Mus musculus: one gene and its partners. The protein of the gene in region 1 binds, or shares a complex with, the protein of each later gene. Links are inferred from orthologs where the notes say so. Each region holds a gene or a part of one and is shown in the gene's direction. Other genes may lie near its edges. The genes, in order: Washc4, Washc1 and Washc3.

Region 1 (10,147 bases):
TAAGTTTTACAATGGTCTTCTGTTTTATGGTGAAGGAGGTAAGTCAGAATTTTAGAATTGCGTTTGTTGTTCCCTTTTAAGAAACTAGTGAACAGAAAGCTAAAAGACTATTCTAGAACTCACATGACTGTAGAGTGTATAGAGAAACAGCCAACACATTTAAATAGTTTATTTATGCTTGTGTGTGTGTGTGTGTGTGTGTGTGTGTGTGTGTTCGTTCACAGAGCTACTCTGTGGGTGCTGTGAACCTAATTTTGGTCCTCTGGAAGAGCCAAATGCTCTTAGCTGCCAAGCCATCTCCAGCTGCTAAAGCTTCTTTGTTGTTTACTGGTTTGGTTAAACAAGTGAGGAATGGAATGGCAAGGCAGCAGCACATTCTCTGGGGCCATGGATGGTCAGTGAGGAAGTCCTGTGTGGACAGAGCTTTGGGTCCGCTTGGCAGGGAGGAATGGCTGTTTGAAGGTGTAACTAGTTCATGACATGTCATTTTTCTCTTTAGTGTAAAAGTCTAGTGTATTTAGTACTGTGTGAGAGTGAAAGAATATTATCTTTTGTCTTTGTTGTTGAATTTAAATAAAAAGCCTGAAGTAAAATTGCTGCTTTTTAAAGCTACAGATTCCAGCATGGTGGAAGGTGACTGCCAAATTCAAATGGGGAGATTCGTTTCATTCTTACAGGTAACTCCTTTTTGTTTGTTTGTTTGTTTCTTTTAATCTCTTTAAGGGAACTGATTTTTACTATCTCTCAAACCATTTGTTTACTTATTTGAGACAGGGTCTTACTAGATAGCATTGGCTGTCTTTGTAGACTAGGCTGGCCTCAAACTTGTAAAAGATTCACCTGGCCTCAGCTTCTTCACATTCTGGGATTAAAGGTTTGTACCACTATTCATGGCTGAGCTTTTAAAATTTTTTCATCAAAATTACACATAATTTATAGGCTCTGGAACCCTCAATTTCTGAGGTCTTGTGTCTTCTGAGAGTGAACCATTTACTTAGCATGAGGTTACAGTGTAGGAGATCATAACTCGTAAATGATCTATGAGGAATTTTTGGGGAATAAGGTATCAGGAGACCTGAACAATTCAGAAATTGTTTTAATATATTATCCTTTGTATGTAACTTGTATAATTTCATTTATGGATAGTTTATAATCTTTTTTAAATGTAAAGATGATTTTTGTGGAGACGGAGAAATGAAATGGCTCAGTTACTAAGAACACTTGCTTCTCTCCCAGAGGACTGGGGTTTAATTCCCAGAACTGACCACCCTCATGGTGGCTCACAACTGTCTATAACTCGATTTCCAAGAGATTCACCCAGCACTCTCTTCTGGCTTGGGTACTAGGCACTCTTTTGGTATACAGGCATATATGCAAACAAGACCCATACACATAAAAGTAAAATAAAATTTTTAAAAATTTTGTTTTTGTGTGGTAGAGGTGGCTCATTGGTTATGAGTATGTACTGTTTTTGCAGAGGACCCCAGTTCAGTTACTTGCACCCTTACTGGGGGCTCATAGCTACGTGGAACTTAGATGAATCTAGGGATCCAATGTCTATGGTCTCCATGGGCACCTGCACACACAGGTGCATACACACACATATATAGGCACACACATACACACATGCTTGAGAAAGAAACTAGACTTTTTTGAATTATCTTTGCTGCTATTATAAACTGCATGTGCACGCAAGCACAGACACACACACAGACACACACACAGACACACACACACACACACACACACACGGTTGATCACACAGGAATGGGAAAGCTGGAAGAACAAAATAGTGAAGACTTATGGAAGAAGCAGGTCACATTTCCTCATCTAGGAACAGAAGAAAAATGGTTATGTTTGTGAGATCAAGTCTGGCAGCTTAGGGAGATAATCTGCATGTAACTAGCTAGCACTCACACCTCTGAGGACATGGCTCTGGTCGGATGCAGCTACCTCTGAAAAGCAGTTTGGGTTAGGTTGAGAGTGCTGAAAGAAGCGGTCCAGCTCTCTGTTGTGAGCTGCCTCTGTGGGGGTGAACTAGTAGATTATCTGATGGAAACAGGGAAAGACTGGGAAGGACAGCCTTTGCTGCTTTCCTGTCACATTGTCAGGACCTGACAGCAAGTCTGCTGCCATAGGAAGGCTGCTGCAGAAATGCGGTTTGAAGAGTCAGTGAGTGTGAATTTTTATTAAATATGTGTTTCTGTTGGTGATACTGTATTCGGTATGTATAATAAATTGAGCTCTTGGCCATTGTGCCGTAATCCTCTAGGGGCTACTGATCCAAGCTCCCAGAGTCTAGCAGACATGACCTTTTCCTGTCTGTTCCTCGGTGTAGGGGTGGAGTCTGCTTCCTCTGGCTTGCCTTTATGTTTGGTTCATTTAGCCTTCAGCTTCTCTGTACCAAATTACCTATGTGAGATATCCCCTTTTACAGAAAAGTAAATGGTATTGATATATATTTACATACGTAACTCACAGTGGAATACATTTAGACAGTAAGAAGGTCACTGCAGTAAGACAAGTTAGCATGCCCACCATGTCACAGAGACCCTTATTTTGCTTGTATTGGCAAAAGCTTTGATGATATGAAGCTATGATACTATGTATATAATACATAATTATGTACAAATGGCTATTATATACATAGATTGAGAATCACTAGTGTGGAATGCTACAAGACCTAAAATTGTTTGAACACTAATAAAACATCACCAATGGAGAATTCTGTAACCCAAGGTAATAATTACTTATGGACTATATGTATAAATGAGTTTTGTGCTTAGATTTGTTTCTATTCCCTGGCTAAGATATCTTATCACCTATGTGCAGATACTCTTGAATGGAGAAAACTCTGCAGTCCGCAGTACTTCTGGTCTGGAGCATTTAGACCAGGGTGTTTAGCTTATACAGGCTAGCACTGTCTTGCTGTGTTCTCTGTCTGGCAGTAACATGGCTACTGTATCTGTGTTTCAGCTTGCTTTCTCAATGTATCTTTGCCCACTCTTTCATATTTTCAGTGTTGTCCCTTTCCTTGCATTCCTTTAAGACCTCAGGTAGTCATGTTCTGTACAGCAGTGTGGTGCCACAGTATGTGTGTAAGAGTGCCTTATGTGTTGATTGTCCAAGAACACAGTGTCTTTAAAACAGCGCCTGGAGCTAGTGGTGCTCCTCAGGTATCTGAAGGAAAGGAGCAAATGGCTGGATCTGGATTCTGTTTTTTTTTTTTAATCATCTGACAATCTTTTAATTGATTTTTTTTTTCTGTTTCTGTCTCATGGAATCTTTCTGTATCTGCACTGATTTCTGCTTTTTTGTCATGCTTTCTGTTTTTTATCTTCCTGTTACCATTTAACCTTCAGAAAGTTTAATAACAAATGTAAAACAAGCTGTTTGAAATTACAGGCTGTTAGGTAGCACATTCAAAATGCCTGTATTGCAGCACAAGGATGAGTTAGGATCATGAGTTCAAGACTAGTCTGGCCTATATAGCAAAAACCTGTACGAAAAAACTCTTTAAAGTTCAAAGACTTTAAGTTGTGTTTAGGTCTCACTAATAGCTGTGTAAAAAGTTCACTGTCCAGACATTATCTAATGTATTCCATGAAGTAAGAGAGAGTGTGTGTGTGTATTGCAAACTGCTCTTGTTGGTGGGGGAGACCAACACATAAAAAAGCAATGAATATTATTGTTCAAGGCTTACAGTTTAGAATAGATGAAGGTTTAATAAGGTTTTAAGTATTTTAGATGGAAATTTGTTTTATAAGGCTAAAAGTTGAGAGCTTTAAAAAACATTGTCAGAAAGTCTAGGTATGGTAGATCTGAGTTAATAATAATTGATAAATATTCTTGGGATAAGTGATATGCACTTGTATGTGCCAAGCTATATATATATATGTATTTCTTTAAAGAATTATTTATTGTCTGTATATTAGTAGTACACTGTAGCTGTCCTCAGATTTACCAGAAGAGGGCAGGTAGAGGCAGGTAGAACTTTGAGTTTGAGGCTAGCCTGGTCTACAGAGTGAGTTCTAGGACAGCCATGGCTATACAAAGAAACCCTGTTTTGAAAAAAAAAAACACAACAAAAGATGACAAGGGAAGTGATTTAGAGTGACTTGTGGAGATTGCTTTCTGTCCTTGTGACACTTGTAGGCTGGCAGTCATTGTCACTCTTCAGATCTTCATTCACTTACAGGGAAGGGATGATTGGCCCTGCCATTTAGGAGCTGCATGAGTGACTGAAACAGTAGACTCAGAAAATGGTGAAATCATGAAATGCAGGAGCAGCAGAGGGAGGAATGACCTGGCCTGCAGGAGGGGAGAGAAGTGTTGATTGCTTGAGGGATTCTGAGCTCTGGCTGCTGGATAGCTAGAGCTTTGGTTGTGTTACAGCATCCAGTCTAAATATCCCGACACTGACAAAGCAGTCTTGTAACGCGTACTCACCATGTCATTTCAGGAACTGTCCTGCTTTGTGACGAGGTGCTACGAAGTGGTGATGAATGTCATCCACCAGCTGGCTGCCCTGTACATCAGCAACAAGTAATGCGCCGTAGGGTTAGGCTGCTTTTATAAAATAGCAGTAAGGACTTTCTGGAAAAATAGTTAATAGAAACAACTTATTATTTGTGTACTCAGTATACATGCTTAGGATGTTCAGACACTGCTGGAGGTTGTGTTCCTTTTTTAAGGTGTGTGCTTACAGATAATTGAGATTTTGTTCTCACCAAGTTTATGAACCTGATTTTGTCTGAATGAGAATATTGGCAAAAGAGTTTTAAAGACCTTTCACCATAGAAAAGAGCTGATGCAGAATTAACCACTCGTGTGTGTTTGTTTTCCCCTGTGTACATTAGTGGTTCTCTGCTGTTTCATAAAGTTATGTGACTTTTCGTAAATAGGACATAAAGTTGAACGAAATGTGGCTTATTATTGTAGTATAGCCCTAGAAGTTTGATGCCTTGCTTCTCAGTAAGAGTGAGAACTGAAGAACGAGTCTGACATGTGCTTAAGGGTCTTTTCTCAAGCACCAGTTTTGATAGAGTAAGAGATTGTAGTTGATAATCGAGAAATTCCAATAGTTGATTAAGTTTTTCCTTCTACTTTGATGCCAAGGCACATTCTTTAAGTTTAAAAAGCAAGATTACTCATCTGCCCGTTGTCAGGTTTTTAACCCATGATGGCACAGCAAGCAAGGGTAGCCCAGGCTCTGCTCTGGCTTGTGCCTGCAAGTTTACGACAAATACATGCTACAGTTCTAAGAGCCTGTATTTAAACTTGGATGTTATTTTATTATAGGATAGGACCCAAAATTATAGAGACAACTGGAGTTCATTTTCAGGTAAGAGTTAATTTTTCTACTTTTCTTAGGTATTTGACCAATTAGGACATATACTAATGCTAGCATGCCACCCCTGTCTCTGTCCCTGTTGTCTGTCTAGTTGATGAGCCATCACTTGCTATGATCTGGCACTTGTACTTTTCCCCAGTAGTGCTCCACTGCAGGTTTTCTGTGGTCAACAAACAAATCTTTAGCATCACAATTATGGAGAAAATATTAGGCAAAATATACTCGATTTAGGCTAGTGGTACATTTGAGGGTAAGACCTGAATCTTAATAAACCAATTGATCCCTCCTTTCACTAATTTAATAATTAACCCAATGTGTTTTTCTTTAAAAGTTCACATGAGACTTCTAACTAGTGACTAAATGATAATCATTAAAGGTTTTTTGACAGACTATGTATGAGCACTTGGGAGAACTGCTAACAGTTTTACTTACCCTGGATGAGATTGTTGATAATCATGTCACGCTGAAAGACCACTGGACTATGTACAAAAGGTATGCCAACCAAAATGTTTTTAGTTGTTTTACTTTGTACGGCTCATGTGATAGTTTTAGTAGTAAAAATTAGAATACTAATTCTGATTCTTTAAAAGACCTAGAGCTCTATACTGAAAAAGAATCATGCCCAATATTTACTTTTATGTGTATGTATATGTGTTTATGTCTCCCTGTTTCATGTGTGTCTGTACATGGGTAAGAGGGGATTGGATGCCCTGGAACCAGAGTCATAGGCTGTTGTAAGTCACCAGACTCAGGTTTCCTCTGTAAGCACTCAAGTATTTCTCTGGCCCTGTCCAGTGTTTTCATGAGCAGTCAGCCACATTTGTAGTAGGTTTTTGTTCTCAAACTGTTGCAGTATGGTTATAATTTGTTCTTTGCACTGAACTCTGTTCAAGTGAAGGTTTGTGCCACACATTTATTAAAAATGCTGGAACAGTCTTTTACATTTCTATTCAGTTTACATACAAATAGTAACTAGATGTTTGGTATATGCAGAGCAACAGGCAATTGAACGTAAGGGGGTAAAGAGAGGATAAACATTTTACTAGGGTTGCTCTGTTTACATTTTCCGTGTGAAGAGCCGGGTAAGAATAACACATACACATTTTTTTCCTGGGATATTTTTAACTTTTAAGAATTTGTTAGGTAGATGTAAGATCTTTCTTTAAATCTTCTACAAGGTTGCTGAAATCTGTCCATCACAACCCTTCAAAATTTGGGATTCAGGAAGAAAAGTTAAAGCCCTTTGAGAAGTTCTTGCTGAAGCTGGAAGGGCAGTTACTTGATGGAATGATATTTCAGGTAAGTAGAGCTGTATCAGGGTCAGCATATGAGTTCTTAGAGGTTGTGCAGATCAGAACTACAGTAGGACACTTTTGTAGAATACTTTTGAATTTCTTTTCCTTAGAAAGTGCTTTGGCTTTTTAAAAAAGCCACTATTAGTATATTAAAGCATAACTCAATATATAGTAATAAATAAAATAAAAAGTTACTTAAAATGAAGGCTTTAAAAATTAAACTGTGCAAAAATATAAAATCGAATCAGGCATGGTGATGTATGCCCTTCTAATCCCATCACACAGGAGGCTGTGCAAAACTAAGGCCAGCTTCTGGTACAAAGTGAATTCTAGGTCACCCTGAGATGCATAGGAGACCCCATCTCAAGAGAAAACAAAGGCAAAAATCTAAGGGTTTCAAAGTCTAGGCATCATTTGCATTAAATATTGTCTGTTATTAGCTTCTAGATTTAGGTTTTTAAGATTGCCTTTAAAAAGTCTGAAGGGCTGGGGATGTAGCTGAGTGGTAGAGCACTCGCTTCCTTGGCATGCTCAGGGTCCTTCCTAACCGTGTAAAGGAACAACTCAGAACCCAAAGCAAACAATAGAAAAGCTTAGTTAGTTCTTCCTGCACCAGTGGGTGTGATTTGGATGTACACAGATAGGGTGCCTTCTAAATGAAAATGTACTGGAACCAGGTAAAAACATACTACTCCTCATTCTATGGATAGACCCTCACAGTGCTGCCAGAAATCCCATTCCGTCTACTCTGTCTGCTTCGTGTGACTTTTGTTTTTATATTATCACAGTTTTGACAGATTGGCTCCAGCTCTTTCTTTTTAAAATCAGTTTCTCTCTTAGATATAAAAATTAGTAATCCCTTAGATGCAAAATGTAGTTATTTTAGCTCTTTTTTTTCCTGGGACATTTCTACACATGCAGTATGTGAGGAGCTGGGCAGTGACTGTGCCTGTTATCTCCTAGCATTGGAAAAGTCTAACAGGATTATCATAAATATGAGGATGGTCTGGGCTACAGAGTGAGATCCTGTGCACGCACACACACACACCTACCTCCAAAGGGTGGCACTCTGAACAAGATGTTGCATGTGGAGAGATGACTCAGCAGTTAGGAGTGCTGGCTTGAAGAGGACCTGGGTTTGATTCCTAGTACCTACATGGTGGTTCACAACTATCAGCAACTCCAGGTTCAAGGTATCTGGCACCCTCTCTGGCCTCTGTAGGCAGTGCATGCCTATGGTGCAGAGACATACATGTCGGCAAAACACTCAAACACGTAAAATTTTAAAAATGATTTCAGCTGGGAGAGGTGGCACACAATGTTAGTCCCAGCATTTGGGAGGCAGATCTCTGAGTTTGAAGTCATCCTGGTCTATATAATGGGCTACATGGACCCTTTCTCAAAAAACAAAACAAAACAAAACAAAAAAGTCAAAACCCTCCTTTCCAGTGTGTCAGCCGTGGTTCCTTCCATTCATCTCTGAGCTTTATTCTGTCTCTTCATTTGGGGTGTGAGTGCCTTATAACTGGCACTCATATAAGTACATGCACATATCCCATCAAAGGACACGAGAGCTACATTTGATAGTAAAAACCACTACAGAAGTGTTTCACCTCACCAAGGTGTTGATAGCTTGTTACTGAGAGTCTGAGTTTCTGTTCAAATGTTTCCTGTGTAGGCCTGTATCGAACAGCAGTTTGATTCTCTCAATGGAGGAATATCTGTGTCGAAAAATAGCACGTTTGCAGAAGAGTTTGCACATAGCATTCGCTCAATTTTTGCAAATGTGGAAGCCAAGCTTGGTAATATAAATTTCTTCTTTGACTAATTTATCAAGTTTACATTTCCTTAAGAAGTCATCTATTATCTGTTGTATTTCTGTGGTGTTCCTTTATCAGGTGAGCCTTCTGAAATTGACCAGAGAGACAAGTATGTTGGAATTTGTGGGCTCTTTGTACTGCACTTTCAGATTTTTCGGACTGTTGATAAAAAGTTTTATAAGTCTTTATTGGACATTTGTAAGAAGGTAAGAACTTGAAACTTATTTTCAGTTTGCAATGTAAATTTTAATAAAGGTAGATATTTAAAAGGGCTAACATAAAAGTTTATTTAAAAAAGAATAAGTTAAAAAAAGAATAATTTACTTTTTATGAAGTGTAACTGTGTCAGAAAGAAAATAGAGCTGGGGAGGTGTGTGGGTCATGGAGGATTAGTGCTTGTCGTCCGTCTGTCGTGAGGACTGGGAACCAGCCTCCCTCCAGGACTTAGGTAATGCCGTGCGAGCATGGCAGCCCGCCTTTACTTCCAGCAGTGCTGGTATATCTTCTAACTTCTGATACTACCTATCATGGGTCAGAGGCCTCTGGATGAATACAGTGGAGGAAAATGGAGGAAGACGCCTAATATCAACCATAGGTTTCAGTGCACACGTGTGCACACGTGTGTACCCGCACACATGAGAAGGCATACATGCACACAATACACATTCACATGCAAAAATAAAAGCAGTGGTAGCATTGTTTTAAAGTACAAACACCCTTGAAATGAGCAAATACAATAAACGAAAATAACTGTTTCATATCAAGATATATATAGATATATACACATACATACATACATACACACACATATACATACACACATACACACACACACACACACATATATATATATATATATATATATATATATATATATACATATATATACATATATATGTATATATATATATATGTATATATACATACATACACACACACATATATATATGGTGAGTGTACTTAGTGTGTGTGTGCACATTAACTTTGCTTTCTTTCTGAGACAGGGTCTTGCTGTGCAGTGCAGTCTGGCCTCAGTCTCAGCCATCCTTCTGCCACAACTTCCTGAGTGCTGGCATTGCAGGAGTGCACCCATGCCCTGACATGTTAACATCCTGTCAGTACTGTTACCATGGCCTTGCCTCCTCCTTCCTTTGGCTGTCCCCTTTGCCCTCATTAAATTGTTATTTTCATCTTCGCTATTTCCATGATAGGACACCCAGTTTCAGAATTGAAACTTAGTTTGTGTCTAGTACTATCAAATAATAACAGCAATAAGGCCTTGGCTATGTTTAAGGTTATTTTTTTTCTAGTATTTTATTAATATGCCCTGGCAGTAATGTTATGAAAGGTTGAATTTCATCATGCTTTTTATATATTATTAATTATTGTGAAATCTGTTGTGTGTATGTCTGTGTGTGTGTGTGTGTTAATATTTAGGCAGAATAAAGTTGCTGTGCTCACCACCCATTGGGAATGCTTTTGTTCTTTCTACAATAAGTGTGAGGGGAAGACACACTGTAACACATTGAGACTTTGGTAACTGTGTTTTCTGAGCTGCCTTCCCTGTGTGCTGTAGCACTCTTCAGCACAGCATCATTGGGTCTGCTTTCTTTTCCTTCCCTTCAGGTGCCAGCCATCACTTTAACTGCTAATATTATTTGGTTTCCTGATAATTTTCT
Region 2 (10,247 bases), on another chromosome or scaffold:
AAATTATCTGCAAAAGGTTGCTGTACATTTAAATGAGGGGACTAGAGATTCAGTGATTAAGAGCACTGGCTGGGGTTACATTCCTCGTACCACAAAGAAGCTTAGAGCCATCTCTAATGCCAGTTCCAGTGTATCTGATGCACTCTTCCGGCCTCTGCAGACATCAGGTATGCAAGTGATACACAGACATACATGCAGGCAAAAGATGTGTATACATAAAAATACAAATAATTTAATCTTTAAAAAAAGAAAGGAAGGAAGGAAGGAAGGAAGGAAGGGAAAAAAAAGAAACTCCCAGGGATAGAGAGATAACTCAGAGTTTAAGAGGACTGACTGCTCTTCTAGAGGTCCTGAGTTCAATTCCCAGCACCCACATGGTGGCTCACACTCATCATAATGTACCCAGCGTCCTCTTCTGGCATGCAGATATACATGCAGACAGAACACTAATATACATGCGAGACCAAGGTATGACTACCATCTAAGTCCAACTTGGTGAACCAATGAGTTTTAATGAGGTTACTTACAGGAGCAGAAATGACTCACAGACAGCTGCATCACCACAAGCCAAGCTGCAAAGACCGGCTGCCTAGAAGAAGCAGAAACCATCTGAGCTGCCTGGAAGACGTTCAGAGCAACTGAAACACTTGGGAGAGACACTTCCAGCCTGTTGCACTTCGTCAGCTGCATGATCCGGGTTCGCAGCCTTTGTGGGCTGTCATCTGTACTGAGATAGATTTGGGTGAGTTTGTGTTGCTTTCACACCATAATAATTTCGAAGGGCTGCAAACTGCAGAAACCCTTGCAGGTCTGGGATAGTAATGTGAGGGCTGTCTCTCATACCACAAAGCAGCCAGGAAGAAAGGCCTGGCTCAGGCCTCTACCTAGAAGGAGAAGGAGCGCCTCCTGGTGGAGAAGAAGAGCTCAGCACTTCAGGGAGATTTTAATCTAGTATCATATTTTAACCCCAGGTCTTTCGCTATCCCCAAAGGGTAATAAATACCACACCCTTCTAAATTTGCATCTCCAAAGCAGATGGGATATAGATCTATTAAGTCAAAAGACAGTTTTTATAGGTTTGTGACTGTGTGCATGTCACAACAGCTACAGTCACGTGTGCAGGTCCGAGGACAACTTTGTGAAGTCTGTCCTCTCCTCCCATCTTCTCTCTTTCCCTCCCCCTCCCCTTCTCCCTCTCCCTCTCCCTCTCCCTCTCCCTCTCCCTCGCTCTCTGAGACAGTTTCTCTTTGTAGCCCTGGCTATCTTGAAACTTGATATGTAGACCAGGCTGTCATGAACCATCATGTCCAACTCTCCCTCCATCTCTATATAGATTCCAGGGATTGAACTTGTTTTACCAGGTTTGCGCAGGCTTTCTCTGTGTAGCCCTGGCTGTCGTGGAACTTAATCCACAAGACCAGGCTGGCCTCGAATTCAGAGATCCATCCATCTGCCTGTCTCCCAAGAGCTGGGACTAAAGCCGAGAGCCCGTGCACCACCCCACTCCTGTGCCGCCCTCTTTGCAGGCTGCTCATTTAATCCCTATCAAATGGATCGTAGTAAATGAGGAAAATGGGTCAAAGCATTAAGTAACTTAGCTAGACTCTCCCAGTGTAGACGCAAATGAAGTCTGATAGTTTCTAAGCTTATGCCCTCACTCTTTCTACCAGTGCTGGTGTCTGGCGGTGCTAATGGGGGAACAGATTGGGCTTCTTGGAGGAACCCTTGAGCTGAGCTACTGTAGCCTCAGCCCTGCCATTCCTTCAAAATGTACATTGAAGCTGGATGTTGCTGTTGCGTAAGCCTTGGTTGGCCCCACTCTCGAAGGCAGGCTTATGCTAAGGGCTTGGCTTTAGAATTCTGGAGAGCCTGAAGAACAAAAATGCTGGTCAGAGTCTTCAAGGAAAGCGAAAGGCAGATAAAGACCAAAAACGGCCAATTTTCAGAGGAGACACCAGGGACAAACAGAGGAGGAAGCAGGTGGCTGGTGGCAGAGAACACGTTCAACAGAACAGCGGCTGATGTCAGACTGAAGCCACATTGGGGCGAAGTAGAGCTGACCCTGAGAAGAGACACCTCCACCAAGGCAACTCTTATAAAAGAAAACATTAAACTAGGGATGTCTTACAGGTTCAGAAGTTTAGCTCATTACCATTACAAAACGAGAAGCATGGTGACAGGGTAGGCAGATGTGGTGCTGAAAAGGGGGCAGAGAGTTCAACATCTGTACAGCAGGCAGCAGCAGGAGACTGAGACACACTTCCTTTATCAAGGCCACAATTCCCAGTAGGGCTACTCCCTATGAAGTGGAGTCTATGGGGGGCATTTTTATTCAAACCACCACAGGCTCCTTTAAAGCGGTGCTCCTCAACTCAATTTTGCAAACTATCATCTGAATTGGTCATATCTCCTCAACTGTGATACAAAGATCAAGCTGACCATGCTGTTTGAAGTCCCTGAGAAGCTAGCTCTGAATGCAGGATTGTCCCTCCAACCTTGTGGGAAAGGTGAGGCAGAACAGCCAAAACAAGTCAAGAGTAAAAATACTGTGTCCATGTGTCTTAGTTAGGGTTCTACTGCTGTGAACAGCCACCATGACCAAGGCAACTCTTATAAAAACCAACATTTAATTGGGGCTGGCTTACAGGCTCAAAGACTCAATTCAGTATTGTCAAGGTGGGAGCATGGCCGCATCCAGGCAGGCATGGAGGAGCTGAGAGTTCTACATCTTCATCTGAAGGCTGCTGGCAGAATATTCCCTTCCAGGCAGTTAGGATGAGAGTCTTTTTGTTTGTTTGTCTTGGTTTGGTTTGGTTTGGTTTGGTTTGGTTTTTTGAGACAGGGTTTTTCTGTGTAGCCCTCGCTGTCCTGGAACTCACTTTGTAGACCAGGCTGGCCTCGAACTCAGAAATCTGCCTGCCTCTGCCTCCCAAGTGCTGGAGGATAAGAGTCTTAAAGCCCAAGCCCACAGTGACACACCTAATCCAACAGGGCCACACCCTCTAATAGTGCCACTCCCTGGGCAGAGCATATACAGACCATCACACCTTGAAAACAGAACGGAGAACAACACATGTCCAGCATCTTCTTCCAGTTGTCTCAGATACTTTTTGCCGATCACGGCCCCCAGTTGCTTATCTGCTGTTCTAATATTTTTCTGCTACCTGTTAAACTCGCTCATTTAAAAGCTAAGGCAGGGCTAGCATGGCTTATTCGTCAGATGGAATGATCTGCTGAGATTCAGGTGCCTAACGTGAGTTGCCCCATATGCCCAGGTGATTGGTCTCCACGCCTGGGTGCACACACTTCCCATCCCCTTATCAAAACAGCAGATGGTAGGCTTACTTGGCTCCTCCTAAAGAGTGGGTTTGGATTGGAAAAGAAAAGTCCATGCCTGATTGTCACAGGATAGCCTACTGGCAGGAACACCATTTTGCAATCAGAGAGGAGAGCTGAGAGAAGCCTGTTTGCTTCCTTGGGGATGACAGGAAGAACAGCCCTGGGATGTGTTCCCATTGGTTAACCCAGGACAGAATGCCTTCAATGTCACCATCGAAACTGCTGTAATGGTACCCAAAGTAACAACAGCCGTACCCAGTTTTGACACCCGTATAAACTAGTCTCCATGACTTTCTGGCTAGGGAACAACAGCCTGGGAACACACATCTCCCAGAAAAACGCCAAAACGTCTTGGCGTGTGCACGTGCACGTGTGTTACCAGACTATTAATTTAAAAACCTAAATATAGCTCGGTGTGGAGGTACAAACTTTTAAAATCCCAGGACTTGGGGAAGAGAGGCCAGTGGAGTTCTGTGAGCTTGAGGCTAGCCTGGTCTACTTAGCCAGTTCCAGGACAGCCAGGGCTATATAGTATGATTGTTTCAAAAAAAAAAAACAACCAAACTTTAAACCTTTTGAACATGGAGCCGGAGGAAAGCAAAGGAGAATGTCACCACCATTGGGGAAGCATGTCACCACCATTAGGGAAACATTTCACCATCATTAGGGAGGCTAGCTTGTCGATCGTTGAGATCCTAAACCAACCCATTCCCACAGTGGGATGAAGGTGTGCCGGGCACAACAACAGCATTGGCTCCGGGTGAGGGCACTGAAGGCTGTGCACCCACCCAGTCCTTCATCATCTCTCTGACCTCAGATGGTAAAGACTGATGCAGGAGGACTGCCCCAGACCCCACGAGAGGACAGGACAACTTTGTATGATTATTCCCTATCACATTGTTACCAACCCTGCTTGCAAGAGCTTTCTGCCTTCCAGAAGACTCCCCAGCTGCCAAAGAGGGAGCCCCTCCCTCCCCCACAAGCACATAGCTCACAACTTCCCCACGGCACATTGCTTTCAACATTAGATGGCCACAACACTAACTGACAGAGACCCTGCATAACCTGGCAATATGTAGGATCCTGGACATGCCCACTGTGTCTTCCTGTATGTGGTGTGTGTGTGTGTGTGTGTGTGTGTGTGTGTGTAAGGGTATCCAAAGAAGACAGAAGGGAGCACTGGATCATGCTGAAGCTGGAGTTACAGGTGACTGAGTAGATCAAAGTGGGTGTTGCAACCTATCTTGGATCCCCTGCGCCAGTAGTTAGTACTCTTAACTTCTGAGCTCTTTTTCCAGGTCCTGTACACATACATCTTTAAAATCATTTCCTGGTTGCTATGGCAATCTTTGCAGGCCTAGTGCTGCTCCCAGCTGTTTTTTGGCCGTGGGGTGGGGTGGATTTCTGTCAGCAATTCTTATGTGGCTGCTGACCGACTAAGAGCTCATCAGCTGTGGGCTGTCTGTGGCTTCTTTGGCCCTACGGCTTTGGCTTGCTGCCGGTAAGAAGGCTGTCTGAAAACTAGAATAAGGGATGCGGTAGTAGGGGAGACTCATCTGCCCCCAACACTCTCAAAACACACACACACACACACACACACACACACACACAGACTGTCCATCTACAGCACTGCTTTCTCATTCCTAGTAAGCAATATTCCAGTTTGTTTCTACGCAGAACTTGTGTACTCCAGGTCAAATCATACCGTATCTGATCGCTTCTACGTTGATTTTTTTTTTTTTTTTTAAGTTGGAGACTAAGGGACTTTACCTTTAGAGGTAAACACAGGAAAGGTAGGATCTTCTAAAAGATTAATTAAGCCACTGAAGTATGCATGGCTGGAACAGAGCGGGCGTTTGGAGAACTTCCACTTGATGTCCTATATAGTGCATATGTAGTGTGAGGGTTTCTTGGAGCCGGTAACAGGAGAGACCTGAATCTCCCAGACAGGAAAGGTTAAGCACAGAGTGTGGGGCGGCTTCCTGGTCTAGGCCCCGCCCACCAGCAGCCCGGAGAGCCGGAAGTCGGAGAGCCGAGCTTACAGTGGTGGACGCTAGGACCTGGGAGTGCGGGTCACCGGGGGGCGGGGACGCTCACGTGAGGACGCCGCCTTGGGGTAAGTGTGCAGGGTGGGCGAGGGGCGGACTGGGAGCGCAGGACCGGGAGGAGGCCGCGACCCTGCCGCCCACCGGCTGGAGGCGAGTGAGGGCTCCCGGGCGGGACGGGCCCGGACGGACCGGGAAGGCGATGTAGGGATCCGGCCTGCCGCTCCTCCCACACCCTGCAGCTCCGGCTGCAGAGAAGAGGCCCCGTGGCTTCCTGAAGATTAGGGGGAGCAGGGCGTGGGAGGACAACTTGCACGGTGCGGGTGGGTTGTGCTGAGCACTTTCGAAATTACGAATTACACTGGTGACACGCACATATGGGGGGGGGGGGTTGGTGATCTGGGTTAAGCACCGATCACTTAGAAACATTTCACTTATGCTAAACAACAAGCACGGTCTCTGTCAACATAGATACTTGACAGGCATGTGTGTGTGTAAGAATGTATAAGAGAGGAATGTTTATGTATTCATGGCATGCATGACAAGTGAAAAATAAACAGAAACGATTGGAGGCCAAGGTAGAACTGTAGTCATTTGCTGGAGGGAGGAATTATTTTTGTCTCAGAACAAAACTCACGACTTACAGTAAATTACGTTTACTTCTGAGCTATTTATTATTTCCCCCCACAAGTAGAGTGGCCTTCAATCCATTTTAGATGGTTTGGAAAATTCCCCTTGTGGGCAGGACCGAAAACAGGCATCTACCCACTCCTTACAGGGCCCCAAATGACAACCCAAAGTACAAGTCCATCAAAGGGGTTCCTTGGGGGAACCCCTGAGTTTACTGGGTTTACTTGCAGAATGCGGGGTTCCCAGAGCAGCAGAATCACCAGAAAATCCCCCTGCATAGATGATGAGTCCCCCTTACTAGTATGGACACTGAGGTTACTAGGTGTTGTGCACTTAGGGCAGAATTATTGTATATAACGGGCAGAAGGTGCAGAGGGGAGGGGCAGAACATGACCCACACCATGAAAGGATGTCAGTAGTCCACAGGCCTATCTTGAACTTCACTTTGGAAGTGACACTTGTCCCAGTGGAGATGGTTAGTGCTCAGAGTGTCCTGCACGGTGACACTCCAGACTTTTCCAGTGAGAGCCATCAACGTCTTTGCAATAGCGATGCCTAGTTCCAGAGTTTATTGTGAACATGAGCAACGATGCTGTATGAAGCTGGGGCTCAGGGCAGAATCTCTTGTCTTTCTCTTCACATCAGGACCCCCTGAGTAAACACAGGGCAGGGTATCAAGCAAGATGTCTGTCAGTTAGGGGACACACACACACACACAGATCTTAAAATGGTTTGCATTTTTGTGTATGAAATGACCAAACATACTGATTGATAACAATTTTGAATTAGATAATTGATTCGCAGCCAGTATGACGCACAAGGTAAGTATTTTACTGTTGAAAATGTTGTTTGGCCAAATTTCCTGAATTAAAATTGGGAGCACTGATAAATTCACAGACACTGCGAGAAGGAAGATGGTAGTTGAAATGAGGTGGACTGACAGACTTGCTCTGTAGGTATGTAGCTGTTATTAGCTAGTGAAAAGAATAGTTAGTTACAAATAGTAATTAGTGTTAGTAGTGGCGATATAGTATATTTTACACTGGAAAATAAGTTGAATAAAGATAAAACAATGTCACCATTAATTTTGATTCTTTTTTTTTTCTAAAGATTTACTTATTTTATTTATATGAGTACACTGTAGCTGCCTTCAGACACACCAGAAGAGGGTATCAGATCCCATTACAGATGGTTGTGAGCCACCATGTCGTGGCTGGGAATTGAACTCAGGACCTCTGGAAGAGCAGTCAGTGCTTTTAACTGATGAGCCACCTCTCCAGTCCCCTAATTTTGATTCTTACACCAGAGCTCATTCTAGGATATGCCTTGCCTAAAAAGAGTAATGGAGACTTTTCTACAAAAAATTTTATTTAATTATTGTGTGTGTGTTTGTGTGTACAACATATATATGTTGTGCAGATACGTGTGTGTCTTGTCAACTATATGAGGGTCAGAGGACAGCTTTTTGAAGTGGGTTCTCTCTACCTATCACGTCGGTAGTTTCTCATCTAGTGCGGGCTGGTCTTGAACTGTCTGTATCAGAAGATGGCCTTGAACAACAAGCTTGCTTCTGTCTCTTCAGGTGCTAGTATGGCTGATAGGCAGAGGGGTGAGTGTGGGGCTGTGTTCTTGACGTCTTGGTTCCTTCTCACAGGCATCATGACACCGGTGAAGACCCAGTGCTCCTTGGCGGGCCAGCTTTATGCAGTGCCCCTCATCCAGCCCGACCTGCGACGAGAGGAGGCAATCCAGCAAGTGGCAGATGCCCTGCAGTACCTACAGAACATCTCTGGAGACATCTTCAGCAGGTGGGACCCGCTACGACGCTGACCTGAGAGAGGGCCACCCCTTTTCTAAGTGGGATTCTCTGCAGCCCTCTGTACCTTCTGCAAACTACTTCTTTAATGACCCAACTAATGCCCAGTGTGGGAAGGGTATAAGGGAAAAGACCAGCCTGAGAGTTCACCACCTCCTCACTGTGAAATGGAGCCCCTTGGGATTCCTGCGGGCCTGTGGGTGGCAGTGGCATTTCCAGACTCTTCCCCACCAGATCTCGTCCTTCACCGACTCAGTGCTAGGTGCACAGGGCCCTGTGCTTCGGTCTAGCTGTAGATCCGAGAGTGGCGGTGTTGCTCTTCAGCTAGAGCATAACTCTGACTGGGCCGAGAGAGGCCTAAGAACTGTTGTGCCTTCCTTAACTCCAGCTGTGTGCTGAGGAGTGAATCACTCGATGGCTTTGTCCCTGTGGGGAAAAGATAGCGTGCCCCACAGATGCAGGTGGTCTGGTCCTCCACGGCAGGTGTCTCCTGATGTTCCCAAGACACACACAGTGAAAGTGAGATGGATGGAACCGCTGCTGCATTGACCCAGTAACAGCAGACTTCTATAAGCAGGGGGAATATGCTGTAAGATAATGGTAGCCGTTACACTCCAGTAAAGACAAGCCAGCGAATCTCATTCATTATCATTACTAAGTGTGTCCTACATAATTGTATGTGCTGTGCTATATGCTACTGGCCAAACGGGAGGTGGGGTGGGGGGTGGGGTGGGACTTTTCCCTTTGCCCTTTCTCTATGTAGGGAACCCATGTCCTCAGATACCTGCACAAGAATGTGACCTGTCCCCCAGAGCTACGGAGTCAGAATCGATGTCCATGGGGAGCTAGGCAGGGTCCGTGACTATGTGGATATTCTGACCAGCACAGCCCCAGCCGGTTCCTCCTCCTGCTCTCTTCCACCCTTCTTCCTGCCTCTTCCTTCCTTTTCTCTTGCTTCATTCCCTCTCTCTTGGTTACTTCCTTACCCTCTCCCTTGTCTCTACTTCCTCCCTGCTTCTCCTTCTCCCTGAGTGGTACCTGGCGAAGACAGGGTTCCAAGAGGAGTCAGCCTTAATAAGTCTTGTCTGAGTTATTAGCAGGTTACAGAGCTGTCAGAGAGTGGAGGACATTCATCAGCGCCAGCACACTCTAGGGGGTTGCTACAGTGCGGAGAGGCACCAGTTATCTCTGTGGGGGGAGCTGAGAACAAATGGGCTGAGGGTTGACAGTGAAGTGGTCCATCAGTCTCATGGTAGATGCCTGGTCAGTGAAGCCCTGCAGAGGTTGGGTCTACCTGGCTTCATGGGGAATGTGGGTCCTGTTCAGAGACGCAGTACAGGGGACCTAGAAACTCTCCTGGCCATCTCTTTATTCCCCTGAAGAGCCTTGGTAGAAATGTCATACTCAGAGGACCTCTGACCTCTTGTCCTTTGTGGTGCTTACTTTCCCTGTTGCTATGATAAAATAACCTGTGGGCAGACAGAGGTCACGTGAACAACAGCACTAAGACCAGCCAGATAGGCAGGCTATATTGCATTGAGCACTTACGGCAGGGCTTGGCAAAGCTCAGGCATGATGTTGGCACAGGTGTACAGGGGCCACAGGACCTGAAGCCAACCTCAATCTCTACATTTCTCCTTTGGTAGGATCTCCCGACGAGTAGAGCTGAGTCGGCGCCAGCTGCAGGCCATTAGTGAGAGGGTCTCCTTGGCCCAGGCTAAGATAGAGAAGATCAAGGGCAGTAAGAAGGCCATCAAGGTAGGCCATGACTTCTGTGCTCTGTGGCTGGCGCATTGATCTTCCTATACGCCTGCGGTTCAGCCACACCTCACTTTCCTCCCGTCCACGGCCACCCCACTTTTAGTGCCCGTCTATATGATCTCTAAGGTGTCTTGAATATTTTGGGCCCCAGAGTTCCTGTACCCACAGGTCTTTTCTAGTGCCAAGTACCCAGCACCAGAGCACCTGCAGGAATACGGCTCCATCTTTACTGGCGCCTTGGACCCTGGTCTGCAGAGAAGACCCCGTTACAGGATCCAGAGCAAGCACCGCCCACTGGATGAGCGGGCTCTGCAGGTCTGAAAGCTACCAGCATGTTCCTCTGGATGCCATGGGTGCTGGGAGGCAGGGAATGAAGGCTGACCACAGATTTCGTTCCCTATAAGGATTATGGTCAGGATGGTGCTCGGTCACTAAGCATAGGACTGACACTCATCCACTCTGATCCTGCCTCAGGAGAAGCTGAAATACTTTCCCGTGTGTGTGAACACCAAGTCGGAGCCTGAGGATGAAGCTGAGGAGGGACTTGGGGGTCTTCCCAGCAACATCAGCTCCATCAGCTCCCTGCTGCTCTTCAACACCACAGAGAATCTGTACGGCCAGGAGATAGCTAGCGGGAAGAGGGGAGGGACGGAGGG
Region 3 (10,162 bases), about 4.6 Mb from region 1:
GGTAACCTAGATGGGGGTTATGCTTGGGCTCAAGAACACGGACTTCCACTCACCAAGGCTGACCTGGCTACAGCTGCTGCTGAATGCCAGATCTGCCAACAGCAGAGACTAACACTGAGCCCCAGACATGGCACCATTCATCAAGGTGACCAGCCAGCAACCTGGGGTCAGGTAGGTCACTTCCTCTGTGGAAAGGATAACATTTTGCTCTTGCTGGAATAGATACTTTTTCTAGTTAAGGATTTGCCTTTCCTGCACATAATGCCTCTGCCAAAATCACCATCTGTGGACTGACAGAATGCCTTATCCGTCATCATGGTATTCCACACAGTATTGCCTCTGACCAAAGAACTCATTTCACAGCCAGAGAAGTGTGACGGCGAGCCCACAATTATAGAATCCACTGATCTTACCATGTTCCACATCATGAAGTAGCTGGTCTGATAGAAAGATGGAATGGCCTTTTGAAGACACGGTTACAGCGCCAATTATGTAGCAGCAGCAACTATGAGGGCTGAGGCAGAATTCTTCAGAAGGCAGTATATGCTTTGAATCAGCGTCTGATATTTGGTACAGTTTCCCCCATAGTCAGGATCCATGGGTTCAGGAATCAAGGGGTGGAAAAGGGAATAGTTCCACTCACTATCACTCCTAGTGACCCTCTAGGAAAATTTTTGCTTCCTGTCCCCACAACTCTGTGTTCTGCTGGCCTAAAAATTTTTGTTTCGGAGTGGGGAGTGCTTTGTACCAGGAGCCACAGCAAACATTACATTGAACTGGGAGCTGGGACTTTCCACTGGTCATTTTGGGCTTCTAATGCCCAACAGGCTAAGAAAGGAATAACAGTGTTAGGAGGGGTGATAGATCCAGATTACCTTGGAGAAATTGGATCACCTCTCCACAATGGAGGTAAGAGGGATTATGTCTGGAGTGCAGGAGATCCCATAGGTTTTCTCTTAGTTCTACCATGTCCTGTGACTAAAGTCAATGGCAAACAAAAACAGCCTAATCCAAGCTGGATGACAAAGGACACAGACCCATCAGAAATGAAGGTATGGGTCACTCCTCCAAGAAAAGAGCCAAGACCTGCTGAGGTCCTTGCCGAGGGTAAAGGAAATACAGAATGGGTAGTAAAGAAAGGTAGTTATAAATACCATCTAAGGCCACATAACCAGTTGCAGAAACAAGGATTATAAAGTAATATGAATTCTTCTGTTTTATTCTGTTAAGAACATATTTGTGTAGTTATTTGTGCTTTCTTCCAATTTATTTAATATCAATTGATATTTACGTTGAGATACTAAAATAACGTTCCCAAGGGACATTTCCCCATTGTAAATTTACAAATGCGTTTGCAATTTTACAAGGAATAGTTATATTATGTTATGCATATTCGTGATCTTGTTATTGTTTCATGGGGACATGAGATATTATTTATGTCAAGTGACAAGGGGTGGATTATAATGGCTATTCCTGGTTGCCAACTTGACTATATCTGGAATGAACTACCATCTGGAATCGGAAGGCTCACCTGTGACCCAGATCTTGAGGCTGGGAGATACAAATTTCTGACTTGGATCTTGGCATGGAGATCTTGAGGCAGAGTGGCTATGAATCCTAGGAGACTAAGGCAAGAAGATCTCTGAGTTCAAGGTCAGCCTGGGACAAAGCAAGTCCCAGATTCAGGAGTGGTGGTATGTAGAGACTGTGGCTCTAGAGAACCCTGAGTAATACAATGTGCATATATAATTTTAATGGAACTGCCCTATTTCATGGCAACAATGCCCCTGCTAGATACTGCAGGCTAACAAAAAGCCTAGAACTAGGAATGGATTACCTCTTTTAGAGCTTTTGGTCAGTGAAGTCCCATAGACCCTGACAGTAAAAGCATTGCTGCAGGTAACACAATGAAGGCCTAGAAACAATCAATGAAGAAGGTGGCTATGCTAGCCACACAGCTTTCCAGGGAGTGGCATTTTAGAATGCAAGTATTCACGTTTATCCAAAAGAGATCCTGATTTGGCTTGTCTAAGGCTAACCTCTGGAGTGGGCATTTTTTGTTTGTTTGTTTGTTTGTTTGTTTTTTTGTTTTTGTTTTTTTTTTGTTTTTTTGTTTTTTGAGACAGGGTTTCTCTGTATAGCCCTGGCTGTCCTGGAATTCACTTTGTAGACCAGCCTGGCCTCGAACTCAGAAATCCACCTGTCTCTGCCTCCCAAGTGCTGGGATTAAAGGCGTGCGCCACCACGCCCGGCCCTGGAGTGGGCGTTTTAAGAAGCACTCCCAAACAGAAGCTCACGAATCCCATTCAGAAAAACATGACTCTTCTTCTGCCATAAAAGGCCCTTCGTCAGCTTTTGTGTCTACTTCTGCCTTGTTTCATTATTCTCCACTTCTGGGCATTTCTACTTACACCACCAAACAATCTTTCCTTTGCCTTAAACGCCATATGCCCTCATGTCTCTGTACCTTTGTTTGGACAAAGGTTTATTCCAGATTGTCATCTTAACTGCTCTTAATGTTAAGTAGATACTAAAGTCGGCTTCCTCTTCTTGTACAACTTAGAAGCTCCTATTATCCACAGAACCGCACACTTTGCATGTGGTGTGCATGTACTCGTGGATCTACAAGTGTTTGTACATGCTAATTTGCAATGCCACAACTTTCACAGGAGTTTGTTTGCACGTCCATCTAACTTTTGCACATCAAAATTCTGCATGTCCTCCCTTTGACTAGTGTAGCAGAGGAGATCCTGTCACTTCTTCAGTACTTGTTTTGGTACAATAAAAAGGTTTACTTTTGCTTAGGTGACCTGCCCTAACTCACATCGCTGGTAAAATGTGCAGCCAAACTCTGAACCAAAATCTTCATACTGTAGGTGTAAGATCGTTTACATGACGTAAGTGCAGTCACTTTCACAGCTGTGTGTCTCAGTTGTTGCTTGAAATTATGTTATGTCAAAACAAACAAACAAACACCCTTAGAAACGGATCTCCAGTGCATGAGGCTTGCCAGGGCTGAAGACAAGTTCTGACAGACTTCTCTAGACTTCACAAGGGCTAACAGAGTATCTGGCACTTAGTAGGATTACACAAAAAGAGAAGTGCTCTTCAGTGAATTATGGATCTTTTTTTTGTTTGTTTGTTTTGTAACAGGACTAAGCAATTAAAATCTCAAAACGGATACAGCTCAGCTTCTAACTTTCCCAGTCTGACCTCATCCCAACCCTGCGTCTGTCTCCCTGTTTCTGTCTGTCTGAATCTGTCTCTTTCTGTTTCTCTTTCTCTATTTCTCTCTCCGTCTCTTTCCCTCACTCCACCACTCCCACCCACCCACCCCCTTTTCTTTTTCAGATTTTTTCAGATTTTACAGCTAAAACAGCAACTGTGAAACCTGCTCATCAGCAGCTTTTCCCCGGCCCAATTTTACAATCGGAATCATGAACTACCAATCCCAGAATGCTGAGCGAGAGCGAGGGGGCGGGGCGGCCTCTCTGAAGCCACCCATTGAATGGTGAACACTCGCGCTTTCTTCCGGAAAGGCCCCGAAGGCAGGAACTTGGGAAAGGAGTCTGGGCTCTCTACTGGGCTGGGAGGAGCTTGTGCCTGAGCCCCGGGGTCCCCATCCGCTGAGGAGATGGATGAGGATGGGCTTCCTCTCATGGGGTCAGGCATAGACCTGACCAAGGTTTGTAAAAGACCGACTTGAGCGTCCGACAAACAGGGAAGGAGGCTTGGCCAAGGGGCCCTGGTTCCCAGGGAGACGCCACCTCTCCAGGCCCAATCCGGGCCCCTGTTTTCCTACTCTGGGCAATGGGGGGAGCCCTGCAGTCCACTTTGAAAGGGGTCCCTCCTGGGCTAAGAAAAGAATTGGTGTGCCACGCAGCCTTTGCTCCCCACATCACGTGTCTCTACGCCCGAGGTTGACAGTCTGGAGATAGTACCACCTCTGACACTTCACCTCTTATTCGACTCTCTAGCTGCTCGTGTGTGTGTGTGTGTGTGTGTGTGTGTGTGTGTGTGTGTGTGTGTGTTTGACTCACACAAGATTCAGAAAAACAAATCAGCGACTCTTCTTAGCCCTTCGTGAACCACATGTCCCAGGGCAAAGACCATCCATCCCCCTCTATGAAATCCAGATATCCAAAGGATTGCAGAGAGTGTGTTTCTCCTGTAAGAATCGTGTTTGCTTTTTTACATGACACAGGTGCCAGCTATTCAACAGAAAAGAACCGTGGCCTTTCTAAACCAGTTTGTGGTGCACACTGTGCAGTTTCTCAACCGGTTTTCCGCAGTTTGTGAGGAGGTAGGTCCCGGGCTACTACTTCATGGAGCGGCCGAGAAGTCGCCTTCCGTCTTTCGTGGTGACAAATGTAGTCAAATGAAGTCAAACAAGAATTACAGCCTTCGTGTGTTCACTTTGCCATGAAATTCAAATGTCTTAAGGCCTTAGCATCTCTGATTCTGTCCCCATAAGTCCTGTGCGCTGTCTCAACTGAATTAGTATTCTAGAAGCTTCCATGAGATAGCTCAGCCAAGTTTGTTGTAATTATAACAAAGGGAATTCCAGAATTTCACAGTGGAATTTTTTTTTTATTTGAAAGGTTTTGTTTCATCTTCCTATTCTAGAGATTACATTTTAAATGTATGTTCGAGTTTATATCGAATTGCTTTCCATCCTTTGTGCCAAAAAGGATTCATGGAGGCAGCCTAGAGATACATGTTTCAAAAAATACTTTTCTGCAAATAACTGGATACATCATGAAGTGATAATTAAGTACATAGATAAGAATTAGGTGCCAGGTCCAGGAACCTCTCCTGAGCTTGCAAAAAGTTTTGTTTTTTGTTTATTTTAGAGGAAAATGGGGAATATATATTGAAACTGAATTTAAGAAAGGAAATAACAAATTAGAAACCTATAGACAAGTCACAGCCGGATCGATTTAATATCCTGTTTTCTTATATTGTCATATGTGAGGCTTATCGTTGAGAAAACGGTGATTGCTGAATGTGTGGCTGTTCATCGGAATTGCCCAGAGACAGGAAGCTTCTGGTTTGAGTACAGTTTGATCTGTTTATGATGGGTTGTGATTAAGGCCTTGAACATGCTCCGCACATGCACTCTGCCCCGACACCCCCAGCCCGGCCGTGGTCTTTCTTTCTTTATCAGATTTCCTTCAGCTTTTCCACTGAGACAAATGAAAGTAAAACATGTGCTGATGCAGTAAGGAGCCCAGTTCTGCGTGCCTTGTGTTTGAACAGCCCCAAGACTGGTGCTTGCTCCTAGGCCTCACTTCTTCTCTTCTCTTTTTGGTTTATGAGAACATTTAAGATGTACTTATTTTATGATATGTGTGTGAGTGTTTTGATTGCATGTATGTCTGATGCCTATGGAGGTCGGAAGAATGCTGAAGGCTACCTAGAACTGTACTTATGGACACTTATGAGCCTCGCTGTGGGTGCAGGCACTCAGTCCTGGGTCCTTTGCCCAAGTGCTCTCAGCTGCAGAGCCGTCTGCCCTGTCGGTATTTCTCTCACACAGTTGCTTCTCTAAATAGGATAAGGAACCCACTGAGTAAAGGGGTTTTTTACCTTTCCATTCTTATATGAATTCTTTTACCCTTTTTATGCTAGGTTAGAGTATATAAAGACTGAGCTTCTAGCAGAAGAAAGCAGATATTCATTTTCTATGGTTGTGCGCTTGCCCTTTTTGAGGTAAATAAAACTAGCAAATGAGTAGAAAAGCCATTTGCTGTAAGCTGCTTTGGGGTGAGGATAACCCCTTGTCTTTGTAGTCCCCTCAGTTTCCGCTGTCTGCTTATTGACGACCAGGATCAAAGATGGCAGGTGTCACCTCACTGAGCACTAATGCAGCAGAGCCTTCAGAACCACACTTTCCCCTCAGCTCTCACACTCCTGACGTTCCCCACAATTGGTCCGTTTCTCCTAGTGTTTCCCTGAACTCCAGAGAAAAGTGGTGTTGGATAAAAAGCTCAGATCATACAAAGTTAGCCTACTCCCTTTCGCTCTTTTTTGTATTCATTTTGACAAGTAAAAATTACAAAGTCTTTCAGATGTAAAACGTGCTGTTTTGGTTCTTGTGCCCACTATAGAATATCTAAGCTCATGCGGGCTGCCTCACTTACTTTGCTATGTGTGGAAAGAATGAAAATTGTGGTGTTTTTGTTTGTTTTTTACTTGGTTTTTCAAGACAGGGTTTCTCTGTATAGCCCTGGCTGTCCTAGAACTAACTCACTTTGTAGACCAGGCTGGCCTCGAACTCAGAAATCCGCCTGCCTCTGCCTCCCGAGTGCTGGGATTAAAGGCGTGAGCCACCATTGCCCCACTGTGGTCTCATCATTCTTGATTGAGAGTGTCCTTTGTTGTTAGCGGCAGTCACTATAGTGTACAGTGAACCCAGTGAACTTTCTCTCCTGAGATTCCGTGCCTTTGAGCAATACCATTCCAGGCCCCTCACCTCTCCCATCCCCCCGCTGATCTTTTACTCTGTTCTTTGCTCTGTTTTTTGAGTTTGATTTTGGTTTTATAGTTTCAGGCCTTACGTGCGACTGTTCTGTCCATATTGAGTTGATTTTTGTGCATGGTGTGTAATAGCCTCTGATTTGTATTCTTTGGCTTATGTATATCCCACACCACTTATTGGAAAAACTGTCTTTTTTTTTTTTTTCCAATTGTGTGTTCTTGGCATGTCTGTGAAAATCAATGGATCATAAATGGTTGGCTTTATTTCGGGTACCCTATTCTGTTCCACAGCCTGTTTTGATCAGTACCATCCTGTTTTGGTCTGTATAGCTTTGCCGTCAGTCTTTGAAGTCCGACATTAGCAGAACTTAGAGTCATAGGAACAGGAAGCACAATTTCTTGTAGTGGGTCACTAGGTAGGGGCTGTAGTGAGTGGAGCCCTTCCCTTTTCCACCCCTTGATTCCTGGACTCATGAATCCTAGCTCTGGAAGAAACTGTACTAAGTATTAGGTGCTGATTCAAAGCATATACTACCTTCTAGAGAAGCCTGCCTCCATCTTCCAGTCAGCTACCACCTCACCGTTGCTGTCTCTGTCTTCAAAAGGCCATTCTACCCTTCTCTCAGGCCAGCTGCTTCAGGATGATAGAGACCATGGTAAGACCAGTTCCATGAGCCTGGACCCATGGCTGCACGTTTCTGGCTATGAAGTGAGTTCCTGGGTCAGAAGGATGCTGTGTGGAACACTGTGATGGTGGAGATGGCATTTCTGAGTCCACTAGTGGTAGTTTGGCAGAGACAATACCTGCAGAAATGGCAAATCCATGGCCAGAAGAAGTATCTATTCCAGTAACGACAAAGCAGTGAGCTCTCCAGGAAGAAAGAAGCCCAGTGAAGTAGCCCTTCCATCAGGTGACTGGCTGGTCACCCAGGGCAATGGTGCCTGCCAGGGCTTCGCTGTTGGTCTCCGGTACTCAGCAGCTGCTGGCACTCAGCAGCCGCTGTAACCAGGTCAGCCTTGGTGAACGACAGTCTCTGTTAGTGAGCCCTGTATAAGCTCCATCTCTGTGTGGTCATGTGATGCTTCTAGTTAGGCTTTTCGTTTAGATTTGCTGTTGATATTTGAGTCTGTATGGTGTGTGTGTGTGTGTGTATGTGTGTATATGTATGTGTGTGTGTGTGCATTCCTATATGAAACAATTTCTACTTTTGTAAGAAATAATGAAATTTTGATAGAGATTATGTTACATCTATAAACCATTTTCAGGTCATTTGTACATTTTAGCAATATTCTGCAAACCCATGAACACAGGATGTCTTTGCATTTATTTCTGTCTGATTTCTCTGATGTCTTATAGCATTTGGTATACAGATCTCACACCCTTTGTTCTGCATTGAGCTTAGATCCAGTGAGATGGATGTATTGAGAAGCTTAGGAGGTGGGCCTTGGATGTGGATCTGCAAGGAAAGACCTAGAGTCTGGTCTCTAAGAAGCCATCCTACATACCAAGTCTACAGAGACTGATTTGGAATTGTAGTTGGCCTTGAGCCTGAGTTTACAAAGTCAGGCTGTGGACCTGGCCAGTCCTGTACCCTCTGGGATGTATTGGAAACCTGAATCTGAGAGGGTAGATCCAGTCCACTCTGTATAATCTGGTGGTTGCATCTGCAGGGGTCTTCTGAGAGCCTTAGTTTGTGGGGGCTTTAGGGTCTGTTTAGGTTTTACCTGGATTCTGAGTCTGCGTAGCTAGCTCCGCGGACTAGCCACCACGTACAGTGCCTACATCCACAAGCTTGGTCTATAGTATGGGATAATGGGTGCTGGGCTGATTCTATGGGCCACATGTTTAGAGGGCTGGAACTTGGAGTTGTGGAAACTAACCAGGGACTGCATATATTGGCCTGAATCGTAGGTCTGGGAAGGTTGTTCTGGGCTGAGTCCATCAGAGCCTGAAGCTCTGTAGTCAGACTGGATAGTGAGACTGGAGGGAATGGCCCCACTGTGTTCGTGAATGTCATTCTGATGACTCAGAGACAGAGACATAAACCTGGAGCTTAAGTTGTGTGGTCTGCCTGGCTCTGGGCTGAATTAGAATGTAAGATAGACCTAGAACCTGCATTCCCAGAGGCTAGTTTAAAGGCTGAGTCTGGGCATCATGGCCCTATTGAGGGTGGAAACGGAGTCTATGAGGAGTATCCTGACCCTTGGGCTGTCTTGAATCTTGGGTTGATCTGGAGATTTAGACCAGTAGAGTTCACCTAGTGTCAAGTGGGCCAGGCATGAAGTCTGAAATTCTGAAATCTGAACAGATAATGAGTGGTACTAGCCATCTGGGGCCACTGGGGTTTGTCTAGTGCTAGATTTGCCTGGGGTGGTCCTTATGATGGGTTCTGAGGCAGAGGGTGGTTCTCGCTTCTTGGGGTGTTTCTTCTTTTTGGGGTTTGGTGAGAGGTAAGCCCAGAAATATGAATTGTCTACATCATACATAAATTACATCACACCACATACACACACACACACATACACACATACACACACCACTGCTCTTGTGGAAGTGTCTTTGTGTGTGGCTCTTTGATTAAATCAATGCCTTTGCTTGTACATGGGTACTAGAAAGTCCTAGGTCACCATCTTCCTGCTATCCAGCCTTTTGGTTTTATGTTTGATAATAGAATATATGATTCATTAATTACAGTTGATATTTTGGCAGTTTTTTTATACTTTTGTCAGTTGTAAGCTATATGCAGTTAGTGATACTAACTGAATTAGATGTGTTTAGCTGTCACAGCCCTTCCTTAAGGACAGGTCCAGGCATCTCTCTTTGGCGTGTCCACAAACTCAGATATGGGGGTTTGACCTGGTTTGTTCTCTGTTCATTCCACACTATTTGAGTCCCTGGGGTTTATCTCTAGCTGTGTGATACACTCTAACTGGCTGAGAGAAGCACAGAACCCAAAGAACCGAACTGAGATTCTAGCCCTTATCGAAGTGAAGAAACTAAAAAAGTCTCTCTATATTATAGTTCTGTGGCTCTGTATCTACTAAATGTAGTATCTTTGTGAATATGATAACTTTTGAAGATATTATAAATGTATCTCTAAGTTGCTTTCTGGAATCATTTTTTAATCTGTTCAGAGCCCCTGGGAAACCTCTCCTTGTTTGGCAAGCTTTAACAGAAACCAAAATGATCACTTTCCTAAAAGAAAAAAAGCATCAGCTATTGCTTTTTTACTTAGGAGTGAGCTGCAGGGAGAAAGACCCACCCAACCCACCCACCCAACCACCCACCCACCAACCAACACCCTGATCTGATCTAAATCTGGCATAAATGTAACCATTTCAGCCTCAACTGGGATTAAAATGGAAACAAACTGAGCTCCTTCATTATCTGTTATTTTGTTTCTTAGAATTCTCTGATAAAGAGAAGAGTTTAGGACTTCTTTTTTATTATTTTTTGTAAAGAACTCAACTTTCTTAAAACTCCATGCATACTAGGCTACTTTGTAAATAATTCTTCTTTGCCTGCTGAGAACCGAGGCCAGAGAAAGGAAGGAAGTTGAATCAGACCCAAGTTACAAAGTTTTTAGGGTCATCTCCTCTTCCTTCACAAATCCTCAGTAAACATTTTTGTTCTGTCCTAGTCAGCACAACTGTATGATGGCCCACTGTAGCTGGTCTTTGC

Evidence for each region.
Region 2: Washc4 (region 1) and Washc1 share a complex: the UniProt entries of both Homo sapiens proteins name them as parts of the WASH core complex. The link is inferred for Mus musculus from reciprocal best matches to the Homo sapiens genes WASHC4 and WASHC1.
Region 3: Washc4 (region 1) and Washc3 share a complex: the UniProt entries of both Homo sapiens proteins name them as parts of the WASH core complex. The link is inferred for Mus musculus from reciprocal best matches to the Homo sapiens genes WASHC4 and WASHC3.

The regions. Positions count from the first base shown.
Region 1 is NC_000076.6:83,550,272-83,560,418, forward strand, and holds part of Washc4 (WASH complex subunit 4), read left to right. Parts: coding exon 1-38; intron 39-609; coding exon 610-677; intron 678-4,462; coding exon 4,463-4,545; intron 4,546-5,301; coding exon 5,302-5,344; intron 5,345-5,729; exon of another isoform or gene 5,730-5,741; coding exon 5,742-5,845; intron 5,846-6,531; coding exon 6,532-6,652; intron 6,653-8,326; coding exon 8,327-8,450; intron 8,451-8,546; coding exon 8,547-8,674; intron 8,675-10,094; coding exon 10,095-10,147. UniProt on the Homo sapiens protein: Acts as a component of the WASH core complex that functions as a nucleation-promoting factor (NPF) at the surface of endosomes, where it recruits and activates the Arp2/3 complex to induce actin polymerization, playing a key role in the fission of tubules that serve as transport intermediates during endosome sorting.
Region 2 is NC_000083.6:66,106,195-66,116,441, forward strand, and holds the start of Washc1 (WASH complex subunit 1), read left to right. Parts: upstream 1-5,351; 5' UTR 5,352-5,455; exon of another isoform or gene 5,456-5,707; intron 5,708-7,668; 5' UTR 7,669-7,673; coding exon 7,674-7,822; intron 7,823-9,476; coding exon 9,477-9,588; intron 9,589-9,759; coding exon 9,760-9,906; intron 9,907-10,065; coding exon 10,066-10,202; intron 10,203-10,247. UniProt on the Homo sapiens protein: Acts as a component of the WASH core complex that functions as a nucleation-promoting factor (NPF) at the surface of endosomes, where it recruits and activates the Arp2/3 complex to induce actin polymerization, playing a key role in the fission of tubules that serve as transport intermediates during endosome sorting.
Region 3 is NC_000076.6:88,197,608-88,207,769, forward strand, and holds the start of Washc3 (WASH complex subunit 3), read left to right. Parts: upstream 1-3,489; 5' UTR 3,490-3,634; coding exon 3,635-3,685; intron 3,686-4,204; coding exon 4,205-4,303; intron 4,304-10,162. UniProt on the Homo sapiens protein: Acts as a component of the WASH core complex that functions as a nucleation-promoting factor (NPF) at the surface of endosomes, where it recruits and activates the Arp2/3 complex to induce actin polymerization, playing a key role in the fission of tubules that serve as transport intermediates during endosome sorting.